Linked DNA regions of Xenopus tropicalis. The protein of the gene in region 2 interacts with the protein of the main gene of each other region in a pairwise test. Links are inferred from orthologs where the notes say so. Each region holds a gene or a part of one and is shown on either strand. Other genes may lie near its edges.

Region 1 (5,407 bases), on a different chromosome or scaffold from region 2:
TACTGACTCTTTCCATGTTGTTCCTCCTCCTTACGGAGTCTCCTACATCTTGTTCCTCCCCCTACTGACTCTTCTCCATGTTGTTCCTCCTCCTTACGGAGTCTCCTACATCTTGTTCCTCCCCCTACTGACTCTTCTCCATGTTGTTCCTCCTCCTTACGGAGTCTCCTACATCTTGTTCCTCCCCCTACTGACTCTTCTCTATGTTGCTCTTCCTCCTACTGAGTCTCCTACATCTTGTTCCTCCCCCTACTGACTATTCTCTATGTTGTTCCTCCTCCTACTGAGTCTCCTACATCTTGTTCCTCCTCCTACTGACTCTTCTCTATGTTGTTCCTCCTCCTATGGAGTCTCCTACATCTTGTTCCTCCCCCTACTGACTATTCTCTATGTTGTTCCTCCTCCTACTGAGTCTCCTACATCTTGTTCCTCCTCCTACTGACTCTTCTCTATGTTGTTCCTCCTCCTTACGGAGTCTCCTACATCTTGTTCCTCCCCCTACTGACTATTCTCTATGTTGTTCCTCCTCCTACTGAGTCTCCTACATCTTGTTCCTCCCCCTACTGACTCTTTCCATGTTGTTCCTCCTCCTTACGGAGTCTCCTACATCTTGTTCCTCCCCCTACTGACTCTTCTCCATGTTGTTCCTCCTCCTTACGGAGTCTCCTACATCTTGTTCCTCCCCCTACTGACTCTTCTCCATGTTGTTCCTCCTCCTTACGGAGTCTCCTACATCTTGTTCCTCCCCCTACTGACTCTTCTCTATGTTGCTCTTCCTCCTACTGAGTCTCCTACATCTTGTTCCTCCCCCTACTGACTATTCTCTATGTTGTTCCTCCTCCTACTGAGTCTCCTACATCTTGTTCCTCCTCCTACTGACTCTTCTCTATGTTGTTCCTCCTCCTATGGAGTCTCCTACATCTTGTTCCTCCCCCTACTGACTCTTCTCTATGTTGTTCCTCCTCCTATGGAGTCTCCTACATCTTGTTCCTCCTCCTACTGACTCTTCTCTATGTTGTTCCTCCTCCTATGGAGTCTCCTACATCTTGTTCCTCCCCCTACTGACTCTTCTCTATGTTGTTCCTCCTCCTATGGAGTCTCCTACATCTTGTTCCTCCCCCTACTGACTCTTCTCTATGTTGTTCCTCCTCCTATGGAGTCTCCTACATCTTGTTCCTCCCCTACTGACTCTTCTCTATGTTGTTCCTCCTCCTATGGAGTCTCCTACATCTTGTTCCTCCCCCTACTGACTCTTCTCTATGTTGTTCCTCCTCCTATGGAGTCTCCTACATCTTGTTCCTCCCCCTACTGACTCTTCTCTATGTTGTTCCTCCTCCTATGGAGTCTCCTACATCTTGTTCCTTGTCTCTAATACAGGTGGGGGAGAGGTGCCATGAAGGAAAGGCAGGTTCTAGTTATAGGGAATTCAGTTACAGGGAAGGGCAAAGCATGACGGATGCCCCGGTGCCAGGAACTGACTGTTTATATTTATATAATTCTACTTTGGTTGCAGTTGGCACAAGGTTATTTATAAATAGATCCGGCATTGTATCACGGGGCCTATTTCCCACAGTGAGGGGGTCTGTGAATTCCAACAGCCAATGGAGGCCAACTGTATTCACTGGCCAATCAGAGGAGGCGACCAGTCAGAGTTTTCTGAGATAAAATAAAGAGGTTATGTTTTTTTCAATTGTGGTTGCTGGGGGGCAGTCATTAATGAGATCCCGGTACCTCCTGAGACACCTCCCTGAGATACCCCCCCAACAGTAAGAATGGCCCCTGTCCCATAGCGTTAGTGCCACACACAGGGGGTTAGACCAAGAGAGCCCCAGGGGGTACCTGGAAGATATCATTGGCACACTTTCGGCACAGGTTGTGCTGGCAGGGCAGGATCACCACGGGTTTGGTGAACATCTCCAGGCAGATGGGGCAGATGAGCTGCTTCTCCAGGTTGTCCATGGTCTGGGTGTCTCCGGCCAAAGGCTTGAAACCCACCGCAAAATTCATCCCCTCACAGGATGCTAGGAAGAAACAGGCAGCAAGATGTACTGGGGGTATATATGTGCCCCCCCAAGGGCCCCTCATCCCTAAATCCTCCCACCAACAGTACCACGTGCCCTCCCACCCACTCACAGAGGCCCCAGCACCCCACCCTGATCATGCTCACCCCCAGTCCCGCAACCTCACCCCCTGCCTTTCTAACCTGCGGGCACTGCCCCCAGTCCCACAACCTCACCCCCTGCCTCTCCAACCCGCGGGCACTGCCCCCAATCCCGCAACCTCACCCCCTACCTCTCTAACCCGCGGGCACTGCCCCCAGTCCCGCAACCTCACCCCCTGCCTCTCTAACCCGCGGGCACTGCCCCCAGTCCCACAACCTCACCCCCTGCCTCTCCAACCCGCGGGCACTGCCCCCAATCCCGCAACCTCACCCCCTGCCTCTCTAACCCGCGGGCACTGCCCCCAGTCCCGCAACCTCACCCCCTGCCTCTCTAACCCGCGGGCACTGCCCCCAGTCCCGCAACCTCACCCCCTGCCTCTCTAACCCGCGGGCACTGCCCCCAGTCCCACAACCTCACCCCCTGCCTCTCCAACCCGCGGGCACTGCCCCCAATCCCGCAACCTCACCCCCTGCCTCTCTAACCCGCGGGCACTGCCCCCAGTCCCGCAACCTCACCCCCTGCCTCTCTAACCGGCGGGCACTGCCCCCAGTCCCACAATCTCACCCCCTGCCGTTCTAACCCGCGGGCACTACTTCCAGTCCCACAACCTCACCCCCTGCCTCTCTAACCTGCGGGCACTGCCCCCAGTCCCACAACCTCACCCCCTGCCTCTCCAACCCACGGGCACTGCCCCCAGTCCCGCAACCTCACCCCCTGCCTCTCTAACCCGCGGGCACTGCCCCCAGTCCCACAACCTCACCCCCTGCCTCTCCAAACCACGGGCACTGCCCCCAGTCCCGCAACCTCACCCCCTGCCTCTCCAAACCACGGGCACTGCCCCCAGTCCCACAACCTCACCCCCTGCCTCTCCAAACCACGGGCACTGCCCCCAGTCCCGCAACCTCACCCCCTGCCTCTCCAAACCACGGGCACTGCCCCCAGCCCCACAACCTTAACCCCCAACACTTAGCAGCTTCCCCAGCCAAGGGGCCCTCAGGCTGATGCCACTGTGCCAGGCGCTTGGGGAGTGTGGGCAGTAGAGGGTAAGTTGCCCGGCCTGTCGGTCTCAGTTGAGTTTATCTTCTCTTGTATAGTTTTAAATAAAAAACATTAAAACCCTGCCCCCCCCCTCAATTCACACAACATCCCCAGTCCTGTGACCCCCCCCCCACAATATACCAAGCAACCCCCCCATCTAAACCCCTGAAAATTACTGTTCCCACCCAAAAACCCTGTAACAACCACCCAGACCCCCCAACCCAGCTGCCCCCCAAGTTCTGTGCCCCCCACTTACTGGTACTGGGTGTCCTGCCCTGAGCGCTCTCACAACTCTCTCCCCAAATGATACACAAACTGGGAGACTAAGTGTTGAGGCTCCGGTCACTTCCTCCTGCCCCCCCCCAATGATTAACCCTTCTGTGCCAGTGGCTGAGCAGCTAACAGAGCCCCTCGCACCAGGCTGTGCCCCCCCACTATCAGGCAGAGTTAATGCGACATGAGTGGAAGGGGGGCAGGGGGGCAGGGGGGCATTCCTGCTGTATATTTAGCTCAGGGATAAGGAGCGGGGGGGGGGGGGGGCAAGTCTGGGGTGCAGCTGTCACACACTCACTGAGCAGCTGATAGTGAGTCACACTCACACAATGACTCAGTAACAAAGGCACGCACCCCCCCCCCCACATACATATATATATATATATATACATACACACATGCACCCCCCCACCCCCTATAATATATATAGGAACCCCTCTCAGGCAGCACAATAAAACACTAAAGATAAGTGGGGGGGGCCTGGGGGGGTTTCTGAACAAAGAGATTTAGTGAAGCCGCATTAGTTGTATGGGATTAAACCCAATGGGAAAACTGTCTGTGCAACAATGTGGGTCCCCTTGTAACTGTGCTGAATGTAACTGCTCAGTACTGATTACTGGCAGCACCTAATTGGCTGGATTAGCTCGTTACGCCTTGACCTTCACAGGCAGGTGTGTCCAAAAGGTATTTAATGTGACCAATTGCAAGTTGTGCTTCTATTTGACTCTCCTGAGTGACAGCAGGGGATCCTCACAGCAACTCTCAATAGATCTGAAAGCAAAGATTGTTCAGTACAGGGTTTAGGGGGAGGCTACAAACAGCTCAGATCCCAGAGGGTTAACCTGTCAGTTCCAACTGTAAGGAACGTAATCAGGAAATGGGAGGCCACAGGAACAGTTGCTGTAAAACCCAGGTCTGGCCTGTCAAGGAACATCCAAGAGCGGAATATTGGGGGTGAATTGTGAGACTGGTTCCAGACAAGCCAAAGATCCCACCTCACCCCCCAGGAACTTCTTGCTGCAGACGGTGTATCTGTACCTGGTGCTACAGCGCCATTTGCACAAAGACCATCTGGATGGCCGGGGGGTGGGAAAGGAGCCCTTTCTGCCCTCGCGCCCCACATACCGTCGCTTGTTGGGGCAAAAGCTCATTTAGCTGCAGGCATCTGGGAACAAAGTGCTTTGGGCTGATGAGACACAAATGGCGTTATTTGCTCATAACAAAAAGCGCTTTCCCAGAAACCCCCACTGCCGACTGTCACATTGGGTGGGGGTCCCATCATGCTGTGGGGCTGGTTCAGGGACCGGGGTCCTTGTTAAAGTTGAGGGTCGGATGAATTCACCCCAATACCAACCCTTCAGGATCATGTCTAAGTGTCAGGCAGAGAGTTGCAGTTCCAGGGGTTGGATATTCCCACAATGAGCCCAAACACAGTGGGAAAGCTACAAAGGCATTTATGCGGGGGGTCGCACCCCCCCTGAATATCATGGGAAATCTATGGGCTGATTTGCAGCAGTCACATGGAACTGGGGGGAGTCTGTATGGGCAGTGATTGGGCAGAAATACCCCCATACAGAACCCACACACTCACCCAGGGCTGTAGGGGTGCCTAGGGGCTGTTACATCTCAATATCGCTGTTGGGGGGCCACACTCACTTTGTTACGGTGCATACTGTATATTTTCTGAAATAGTACTGTTCCCATAGGGCAGGTTATATATTAAAGGGGAGGTGCTACTGTGAGAGCCCAGCCAATGAGAAACACCAAAACATTAAGTTGGGTTCCCCCCCAGGGGGGGCACATATTGGCCAGCACTATGTATATATATCTCCTGTCCCCCCATCTCCGTCTCCCCCACAAACAAAACAGAATATCCATGGGGTGTGGGAGAGTGATTTTATTGGTGAGTCAGGGGAGGGGGGGGCTTCTCCCGT
Region 2 (4,631 bases):
GGGATTTATTCAAGTATGTGTTGGCCCTAGAGTGATGCAGCCTCCAGTTTGCAGGGAAATGGGCATTTTCAGTACAGTAATTTTCCGCAAGTATTGGCATATATGGCTAACATGGCGTGCATTTATTCGCACGACTATTTATATGCGGCTACTATTTATATGCTACTATTTATATGCGGCTACTATTTATATGCGGATACTATTTATTTATATGTGGCTACTATTTATATGCGGCTACTATTTATATGTGGCGACTATTTATACGCGGCAACTATTTATACGTGGCGACTATTTATACGCGGTGCGTTGATTAGCGCATGTACCACCAAATACCGCACGAAAATAGTCTTCGCAACTAAAATAACGCATGCAGTATCGCGCGTAAATTAACGCAAGTATGCTTTTAGTGAATCCTGCGTTAAGTCTCGAAAATTTAGACGTGATAAAAATTTTACCGCATGCTATAAATAGCACACGTTTTAACACACTTTAGAGAATCGGCCCTAATTGTTCTTGCCATCTTAAATGTGGCGTACTTTTTTTCAGTCAAAAAAAGTGACAGTTTTATAAATCTCCAACCTTCCTGGTTTTTAAAAATAATCTCAAATCTCAGGTTTTGCTTCTGGGAAATCTGAGCAAGAACTACAGTACATGTTTTCAAAAGCTGACTGAACATCAGTAAATGTGGGTGACTTTGTTTGTGGTTATCAATTCTAAGTTTAAAATCATATAGAAAAATGATATAAAAAGTTCTGCTGAGACAGGATTATAAGAATGGCATTTATTAACATGGCTTACCTGAAGCAAAAATGCAATTCTACTTCCATCACCATATTCTGCCTCAGATCTTTTTAGTTGTTTCAATAAAATCTTATATTTTGAAAGTTCTTCTCTGTCTCTGGCTTCATTGTCTAATTTGGAACATTTGCGACACCGTCCCACAGTACGTGCGATGGAGGAAAGGGAAAACTCAGTGGATGGCAAATAGCTTTTGCAGCTGGGGCAGAAGTATATGTTTTTACGCAGAGCTGTAGAATCTTCAGGAACCTTTCAAAAAAATGCAAGTGTATTTTTAGTTAAACTGCCTTCTATATTTTTCTGTATTCTGTTATGACAACATGTTTTGCATCAGATGTATATATATAATTGTAGCTTTTCTGACAGAATAAAAATAATAAAACATTATACCAATATCTGCATCTGACAAGCCACTTAGCATAATTTATTATGTTTACTACTGTATAGATAGAAATATGTCTATTGACCTCCCATTATTAAATGCAGGACTGCAATTATTTTGAATTATGTCTTGCAATTGCCTTTACAGTATAAAATATAAAAGTAGATATTTATAACAGAATTAAGAAAAGATAAATATCTGTTGTCATTGGAAATCTTTGGAACAATGTACATATTTACAATACCTTGAGCAGTCTGGCAACCTCAGGATTAAAAGTTGGTATTTTTATGTATTGCAAGAAGAGAGTGGATATCCTTTTCCTCAGTCCCTCCAAGTTGGAGTTCTGCACCCCACGCATTAAAAGATCAGCTTCTCTGTCAATAAGCTCAACAATCTCTTGGGTTAATTTACAGTCATGCTCCTAAAACAAAGCACAACAGCCACAAAAATACATATATATATATATATATATATATATATATATATATATATATATATATATATATATTGAATAAGAACACTGAATTATCAAATGATAGGATACGGTGGGAGTGGGAGTCATGCATAAAAACCAGATATAAAAACCAGATGAGTTAAGCAATATAGCAGTTTATACAGTTATGACCAAATAGATTGCCCCAAGTGGATCTGTTGGATAAGATTTAGCAATTTAGCCTTTAGTACATATAGCAAATTGCACTATAACATCACACATGTTTATCTGTTGGCTATCCCATAATATTGTCTGTGTCATTGTGCCCAGCAAAAATGCTATACGTTTTATATTTCTGCACAAAAGTATCATTATTTCCCTCAAAGTAATACAATCAACAAAAACATTGTAGCTGTCTATAAACCTTGTCATTAGAAATGTATGCAACCAAAAATGAGTTACCTTCACAGTAAGTTTAAGAGTTAAAAGTGCATCCAGTCTTTCATCAGCATTAAAGTATGGTGTGTTTATGCTGGTATAGATATCACGAAGCTGTCTTGCACGGATTGTGTACTGAGTATCCATTTCAGTCGTCTTTCCATCAAATGCTTTCCACCTTTTTGGTTCAGAGCACTTAAATAAAAAAAACTATTATTAATAATAATCATCAGGGTACTGTTTCTAGGCTCTACAGAATATCAAGAATGACACATTAATTTACAAAGATATTCCTACAGTGACACATAAATAGTAAGTCAAATCTAAGGGAAGTTATGTGCTTTACGTGGGTGCCTGGACTGAGAAACAGGGCAACATTTTGCTGGTTATGGTCAGGTGTGGGTTAAGGTTTTGTGGGCTAAGATCAGGTCAAAACTATAGAACCATTCAAGGTAAATATATGCACTTTAACAAATCTTGTTTCCCCGCTTATTAAAGGCTGATACATTTGTGTCACTTTAATTTTCTGTATAAAGTGACAGTAAATGAATGCACAGCCGTTTTTGTTTTCTGAAAGAAAAAACATTTTCAGAGTCTCCACACTGTGCACCATATGCCTAAAAGAGAACAAATGGTATTTTTCTATATGTCCATGTGGCCTGTATAAACCTGGTTGTGGAACAGTGCATATTATCAATACCTTGGGTATAAATTGTGTTTACTTACCTTATTCAAGAGGACCTGTATGGACTGTTGCTGGTTTTCTTCATTGGCATTTAGCTTATGCCTGCCTATAGAGGCTATTAATTGTGTTTCCTGCTCTAGAAGTTCACAGAGAGCTGCTTTCCTTTCAGCACCGGTGTATGTTTGGTTAATTCGCTCCAGCTCTTCCTTCCTCCAGGCTAAAGAAATTAATATACTCATTGTCAAATTATACTTTAAAATGGGTGTTAAAGGACCCCCCACCCCTATTTCGGGGGGGTGCCAAAATGTTAGATGCGCAGAACGCCAAGTGCCAAGCTTTAAGAAACAAGTATGTAAGGATATGTTGGCATGGCAAGCTTTAAGAAACTAGTATGTAAGGAGATGTCGGCATGGCACTCAGACACTTTTTTCCACGGGCTTGGGGGAAAATTTCGGAATCTATTTCTATTTCTATTTACAATTCTTTAGTAATTGGAACCTAGCTTCCCACCATAATCTAATGTCCCTGGAACAATTTTGCTGGCTCAGAGAAGCCTCAGCAAAAAGTTTATCAATACATATAGTGCTACAAATACATTTACAGACATATTTAGGGAAGGCACTCCAAGCCAAGAGTCTAAATAACATACCTAGTGATTTCAATCACTTACACCTTTACAGACACCAAGAAAGTTATAGCAAAACCCTGGCTTTTTTAATTCCAGGTTGAAAAGTATTTAAGCACTTTAAATATAGATTTTACACTGTTCTTTTGTTACATGATACATCTGTGAGTAAAATATATTTTTATTTGTATTGACCAGGTAACAACACTTGAGAAGAATAATCCACATTACCATATTCAACTGCACTTGGTTACCGTTGAATAATTTCATATTGCAAAAAAATGCTTGCGTAATCTGGCCAACATTTATTTGAAAATTATTACATTAAGTAACTTTTTTTTAACTTTTTTTCCATTAACTTGAGTCAATACCTTATTTTCAAACAACTAAACTGTCCTATAGTTAAACTTGGTTGCAAGAAAAAATACTGATCCAGTAACAAACCTCACGATAAAGTAAAACATGCCATTTTGCTTACTTACACCTTATTTGAGAGGCCCAGGTAATTCCCAAGTTGAACAGACATTCTGTCAAATATGCTGTTGCTGATTGTAAAAGGAAAATCTAAAGGTGGCCATACACGCACCGATATTATCGTACGAAACCTCGTTTCGTACGATAATCGGTGCGTGTATGGCATGTCAGCGAGCCGACCGATATCGCAGGAAGCTGCTGATATCGGTCGACTCGCCGATCGGCCAGGTTAGAAAATTTTGATCGGGCGCCATAGAAGGCGCCTGACCAAAATTCTCCCTTCAGAGCTGAATCGGCAGAAGGAGGTAGAAATCCTATTGTTTCTACCTCCTTACCTGCCGATTCAGCCCTGAATGGTGTGTGGCGGATCTGACGATGTTTCGTGCGACCGACGGTCGTACGAAACATCGTGAGATCGCCACGTGTATGGCCAGCTTAAGGGGCAACCTGAGACTGACCTGCTGCTATATTTCCGATATCAGATATGACTTTTAGCTGGGATTTTGTTGAGGAAGGAATATGTGCCCATGCCACCCATTAGGAGGGCAAATAGGATTGTAAAATTAAACATCTGGCCATACATGGTCTGCTAGATTTAACATCAACGTGTATAAATATGGGGCTGCTCAGATACCTACATTCAAGGGCATGATACAAAAGGTCAAAATCATCTTTTGTTTTCGGATTCATCCGACGTTCATAATCTTTTCTCAGTTGATCTTCCTTTTCTTTTTTTCTCCTTAAATCTTCCCTTCCTTCCCATTCCAGCCTAAGCTTTTTTTCCTCCCTCAGTTGC
Region 3 (5,181 bases), on a different chromosome or scaffold from region 2:
TATATGCTGATAAACCCCGGCATGGTTGCATTTTCTTGGTTGGCTGATTCTCCCCTGCTGAGATTTATGTGTACAGAGAAAATTTTAATTTTGTTGAATTAATAATGGAAATCCCTTACCAAAACCCTGTGTGATCCCCTGGTTCTGAGTCAGCACTGGCCAACATCAGCGGGATTAATTTTAAGTAGGACATGTACACAAAAAAAGAAGAGTTTTGAGTAATTAGAATCCAAGTGTAAAGTGCATGCAGAGCAATGGATCAGAGCAAGCACTACTGACTTATGCATCATTCATTTATTGACAACGCTTACTTATTTTGGAATCAGAATTTGACCAAATGAATCCATGCAAAGCATACACCAAGGTTACAATTTAGTGGTTATATTCTCTAAAACATACAAAATGTTTTGTCAGCTTTAGGTCTATGCTATAATGCATGCAAAAATAACTGACCATATGCAATTTATTTAATTAGGAGAAAAACGGTTCATTTGCAGAGTAATTTTGTAATAAATGCAGAATACAAATATACCTATTTGGGACCAAGCAGGTCCCACAACATCACCATGCATTGTTGAACACTGAAGTGCAGAAAAGTTCATTAATTATAAATAATTGTTTTAATTATTTAGAAAATTAGAATATCCAGCTACATTTCTGTTGCTGCAAGGGCCTACATAACTGAAAGATACCAAAAGAAAGAGTTGTAAATTGTAATATGCAGAGCTACAGTTAAACAGGAAATTAAAACAGGAGAAATATACCTTGCGAGAGCTTTATGTTACCTTGATAGCAGTTTATGTTACCTTGCAAACCACAATAACTATGTTGGGTCAAGAAGCAGTAAAATGTCTTCTTACAGTGCTTTCTAGGGTAAAATAAATGTAAGAAAGATATAAAGGAACATGGCTGCTGAACTATGGAATAAATACTGTGGGTTATATCTGATGCAGAATATGCACCAGTAAACATTTTGGTCTGCTTTTTGAAGGCAAATATATGATGGTTGCTATGGGTTTCTAGACCTAGTATAACATTATTGCCCTTGCCAATTCACACACCAACTTTTAATAGCTGACGGCTACTTTTGTTATATTTATTATTGATGGATGAATGAATGGATGTCTTTACAGATGAATGGAAGGGAAAATATAAAGCAAAATGGGCTGCAAGACTTTAAGAACAGTTTGCGCCCTCATGTCGAACATCTAAAATAAATAGACGGTCAAAGCCTTCATGTAACAAACAGCACTTGAATATCCTGTACAGCGCACGTGTCTCTTCATTCTCCAAGCTGCTACAAAGTTATCAAATGAATAGCTAGCAATTGCACGCTCCTAGCAGCAAGGCGTGGTCCTGCCCTACTCAGAAGCACTAGATTGCATTATTGTTACAAAGCCGGGCTGGTCTGCGGGTCACTTCTCAGCACAGCACATTGCAACCCCTGCAGCACCACCTTCTGTGACAGCTCCCCGCGCTGCAACCCACCTTGAAAAGGCTAATGGTCCGTCCCCCGATGTCTGATTGGCTCAAACTGTCAAAATCCGCTCTTGCAATTTGTTACAAGCGGCGTCCCTCAGTTATACGGGTTGGTTGAGTCTTGGTCACCCCAGTCTCTGCAGGGAGAAGTACGGACGTAGATGCCGGGGCCTCGGGGAGCAGGGAGACTGGGGAGGGGGTTGTCGTGAAGGATGGATTAAAGGAGGGGCCCTTCACTAACCTTACTCTCCCAGCCTTGCCTGGCCGAGCTTGTAGCGTGCGCGCGCTTAGTATGAGTGTGGGAACGCGCCCCGAGTAAGGGTGCATTATTGTGCGCTGGTTTGTTGATTGTAAAGCATAGGTATTAGCTCTTGTCATGGATTCTCCCCGGGTGTGTGTAAGCGTATGTGAGAGTTTGGGTGTATGTCCGCTTTGTGCTGGGTTTGGGTGTAGGATGTGTAGCGTGTGTATATCAAGGTATTAGGCTCATCATGTAGGATTTGTATCTGCTCTGTGTGTCCTGTGAGAGTGGAAATGTGCAGGATGACAGTGTGTGATGTCCTGTTAAATGAACACTGTGAGGAACAGTCATATACCTGTGTGTAGCTCATGTGTGTGTGTATAGCAGGTTATCTGTGAATGATGCCATTTTTGTGATAGCTAATTTAATTTGACCTTATACCCTTCTCCCTCTTCCCTTGCCCTTTACCTGTTCTCATCCTTCCCACCATCCCACCCTTATCTACCCACATCCCTTTGTCCTGCTTCTTTATCCCTTGTTTTGACCCCACCATCCTCACCCTTCAAATATGAAGCGTAGTAAGTCAGACGACTTACATCCTGAGGAACTGGGTGCACAGGATGCCCAACCACTCACTCCCATGGAGGTGCGAGGCACAGACAGCCCTGCCCAAGGGGATCTGGGATCTGCTGGCACAGCTGTCAGCCAAGGTCCTCCAGCCGTCAACCGCAACAAGCCACCAGATCTTAAGGTAAATATGATATGCTGCAATTCTTAATGATTGTCATGATGGTATTTTTATGCTGTAGGCATGTATATGGATAGTGTCCTAATATTTTAATTACTCTCTACATCTATTCCGCATCTACACATACATGTGAGATGTATCCATATTTATAACACTTTGGCTTTGTTCTATATGGTATTGCTTCTAGCACTAGACATTTTTCACATACTACATTTGTGTCCATTCTGAAGCCCTTCGGGTGTTGTTGACTTGCAATTTGTATGATTCTTTGCTCCCAAGGATTTTAGGGGGTGCTGAGAGTTTTAGTCCAAAATATATATTTAGGTGAGTTAGCATTAGAACATTTTCATATAATTTGTGGTTTGTTAGTGAAGAATTCCTTTCAGACTGACAGGGTTGTCTTCAGCACATCCTGTCTGCAGGAACCACAAGTTTAGACAAAGTGCAGTTTTTTAAGCATTTCATTCCAGAATATACCTACAGTGTATTTAAAGTGTAAATTCCACTTCCTGATTCACACTAGTAAAGTGTGCATAGGTACTGATATTTTATATTTCCCCTTTCTGTCACTTGGAAATTATGATACTGAACATTCTGCCACAGCTATAATAGTGCAGCCAGCATTTACGTTCTCTGTGAGGTATCTGTTCTTTCTCTTCCATGCCATTTTCTTCTGTTCTGGTTGCAGTACATATAATTGCAAGGAAAACTGTGTTAAGATAGAAAGACATTTAAACAAATGTATATTATATGATCTCCACATTATCAAGTTTAGAGATTTTTTTTCACTTGTTTGCCATCTATATAATATTCAGTTAAGCGGCTGTAAAAAGTTTTTTGGACAAGCCTGCTAGAATGTGGGAATTCATCACATAGTCTGTGACGCCAGTTCACAGTCCTGCCCCTCTGTGCTAATTGCCGTAATATGTAAATGGGAGTATGCATAGAGAAGGTGAGGGAGAAGAGAAAGGGACAGAAACAAGGATGGTTATTTTGTTTAATTTTTCCTACTGAATTATTGTTTACCAGCTATAGTTAATTGCCTTTTATATACTCTTAAGTTTTTAGTTTGTGGCCACCAGTAATTTTATTTTATTCAGTCGAGGCCTAACACTGAGTTAAATAAATAATCTTATTTTATTTTCAGTAGAGCATGGATTAAAACGCCTATCCTGCCTCTGAAACAGGCATTATAATTGGCCCTGCTAACAGGACCACTAATGTTATTAGTTTGTAATATGCAAATACTGAGCTAAAATTTCTTAAATGGCCAGAATACCATTATATTCTACAATTTCCAAACATGAAGTAGCTTCAGTTTAATTGTTTATCCTGCTTAATTCAAGAAGTAATGAAAAAAAAACATAGATTGTTCATGAAAAAAACAATAGACGAAAAGCAGGTTTAGCACAAGCCCTGAATTTATGTTGAACCCTTGTTCAACATAAATTCAGGGCTTGTGCTAAACCTGCTTTTCGTCTATTGTTTTTTTCATGAACAATCTATGTTTTTTTTTCATTTTTTTTCATTACTTCTTACTGTCCATTTAAGAAAAAAATGTACCCCAGTATCAGTATATAATGTTCAGCACTCATGTTAAACAATAAATACTGTTTATATACTGAAATAGCACAATTAATGCTCATCATCATCTCTGTCTTTGCAGCTGTGCAGCCTAGTTTCCAAAAAGTGCACGCAACTTGCTAGGGAATGTTAGCGTTCTAACTATGTAAACAAAACAAATCACACTCACACAAAATAATATATATTTTGTATAGACACAATGCACACAATTCACTGTAGATTTTGTCTAATGTAGATTCAAGTAATTGCATGTTTTTCATACTGAGTGATTAAAAATGGCTGGCATATCACCAGGTGTCAGTACATTTCTGCCTCCCCTTTTCTTAAATGCACGTATTGTGAACATGCAGTACCACAGGGTAACCAGTTGTTACCAACTATTTCATATAAGATTTGACTGTTCCCTACTGCAGCACCAGACTTGCATATGCACAGAGCCAGATGGGAAGGCACTCCCACACCAGTGCTGCATTGTGCCTGGCAAATACAAGACATAGTTATGTAGATAATTTGGGTTGGAAAAATAGCAATAGTCCATCAAGCTCAACTCCTCCAGATCACCCCTGTTGCATCATATTTGTGTGCGATGTTCCTTAGTTTTTTCCCTGAGAAAGATCATTAAAACATTGCAAAATTATATATTTGCTTGCCTATTAAAATATTTATTTTTAAGTCTGTGGAGTGTGGTACCTTTTTGTTTTTGCTTCAACGACATTTTAGTTCCTCAGATCTTAAAGGAGAAGGAAAGTCATTTTGGCATTTTACTGCCAATAGATTTGCCACATTAGTGCCACCTAGAACAATATATTTATTCTGCAGAAACCATTAACATACCTGAATAAACAGCTTTAGAAGCTTTCTCCCTTTGCTTAAGATAGCAGCTGCCATTTTAATAGCTTCCTGCCTGCAGCTCTAGCCGTTATTGCTGAGATCACACATTCCTAAGGGAGGGGGGAGGGAGTTCTTAGCATTCTGGTGGGAAGGGGAGAGGGGAGAGGTGAGAGAGGAGAGAACTGCACAGACTCGGGAATTAGGAATGTTTCTGAGAGAGGAAGTCAGACACTGGAACATCATGTTTACAAAAAAAGAGACCAGAAATCCTGTGTTTATTTTCATCCATCAAGTTATT

The links. The genes of interacting proteins can lie anywhere in the genome.
Region 1: the proteins of iqub (region 2) and trim54 interact in binary tests that used the Homo sapiens proteins (3 or more experiments, as listed by UniProt). The link is inferred for Xenopus tropicalis from reciprocal best matches to the Homo sapiens genes IQUB and TRIM54.
Region 3: the proteins of iqub (region 2) and tmcc2 interact in a two-hybrid assay, tested with the Homo sapiens proteins (2 studies listed by BioGRID and IntAct). The two-hybrid records come from large-scale screens. The link is inferred for Xenopus tropicalis from reciprocal best matches to the Homo sapiens genes IQUB and TMCC2.

What each region holds. Positions count from the first base shown.
Region 1 is NC_030681.2:162,397,734-162,403,140, forward strand, and holds the start of trim54 (tripartite motif-containing protein 54), read right to left. Parts: upstream 3,618-5,407; 5' UTR 3,457-3,617; intron 2,022-3,456; 5' UTR 2,008-2,021; coding exon 1,840-2,007; intron 1-1,839. UniProt on the Homo sapiens protein: May bind and stabilize microtubules during myotubes formation.
Region 2 is NC_030679.2:70,232,041-70,236,671, forward strand, and holds part of iqub (IQ and ubiquitin-like domain-containing protein), read right to left. Parts: coding exon 4,474-4,631; intron 2,954-4,473; coding exon 2,778-2,953; intron 2,247-2,777; coding exon 2,076-2,246; intron 1,602-2,075; coding exon 1,425-1,601; intron 1,048-1,424; coding exon 799-1,047; intron 1-798. UniProt on the Homo sapiens protein: Adapter protein that anchors the radial spoke 1 (RS1) complex to the A microtubule of outer doublet microtubules in axonemes. The triple radial spokes (RS1, RS2 and RS3) are required to modulate beating of the sperm flagellum.
Region 3 is NC_030678.2:72,929,824-72,935,004, forward strand, and holds the start of tmcc2 (transmembrane and coiled-coil domains protein 2), read left to right. Parts: upstream 1-1,564; 5' UTR 1,565-1,628; intron 1,629-1,634; exon of another isoform or gene 1,635-2,288; coding exon of another isoform or gene 2,289-2,360; coding exon 2,361-2,471; intron 2,472-5,181.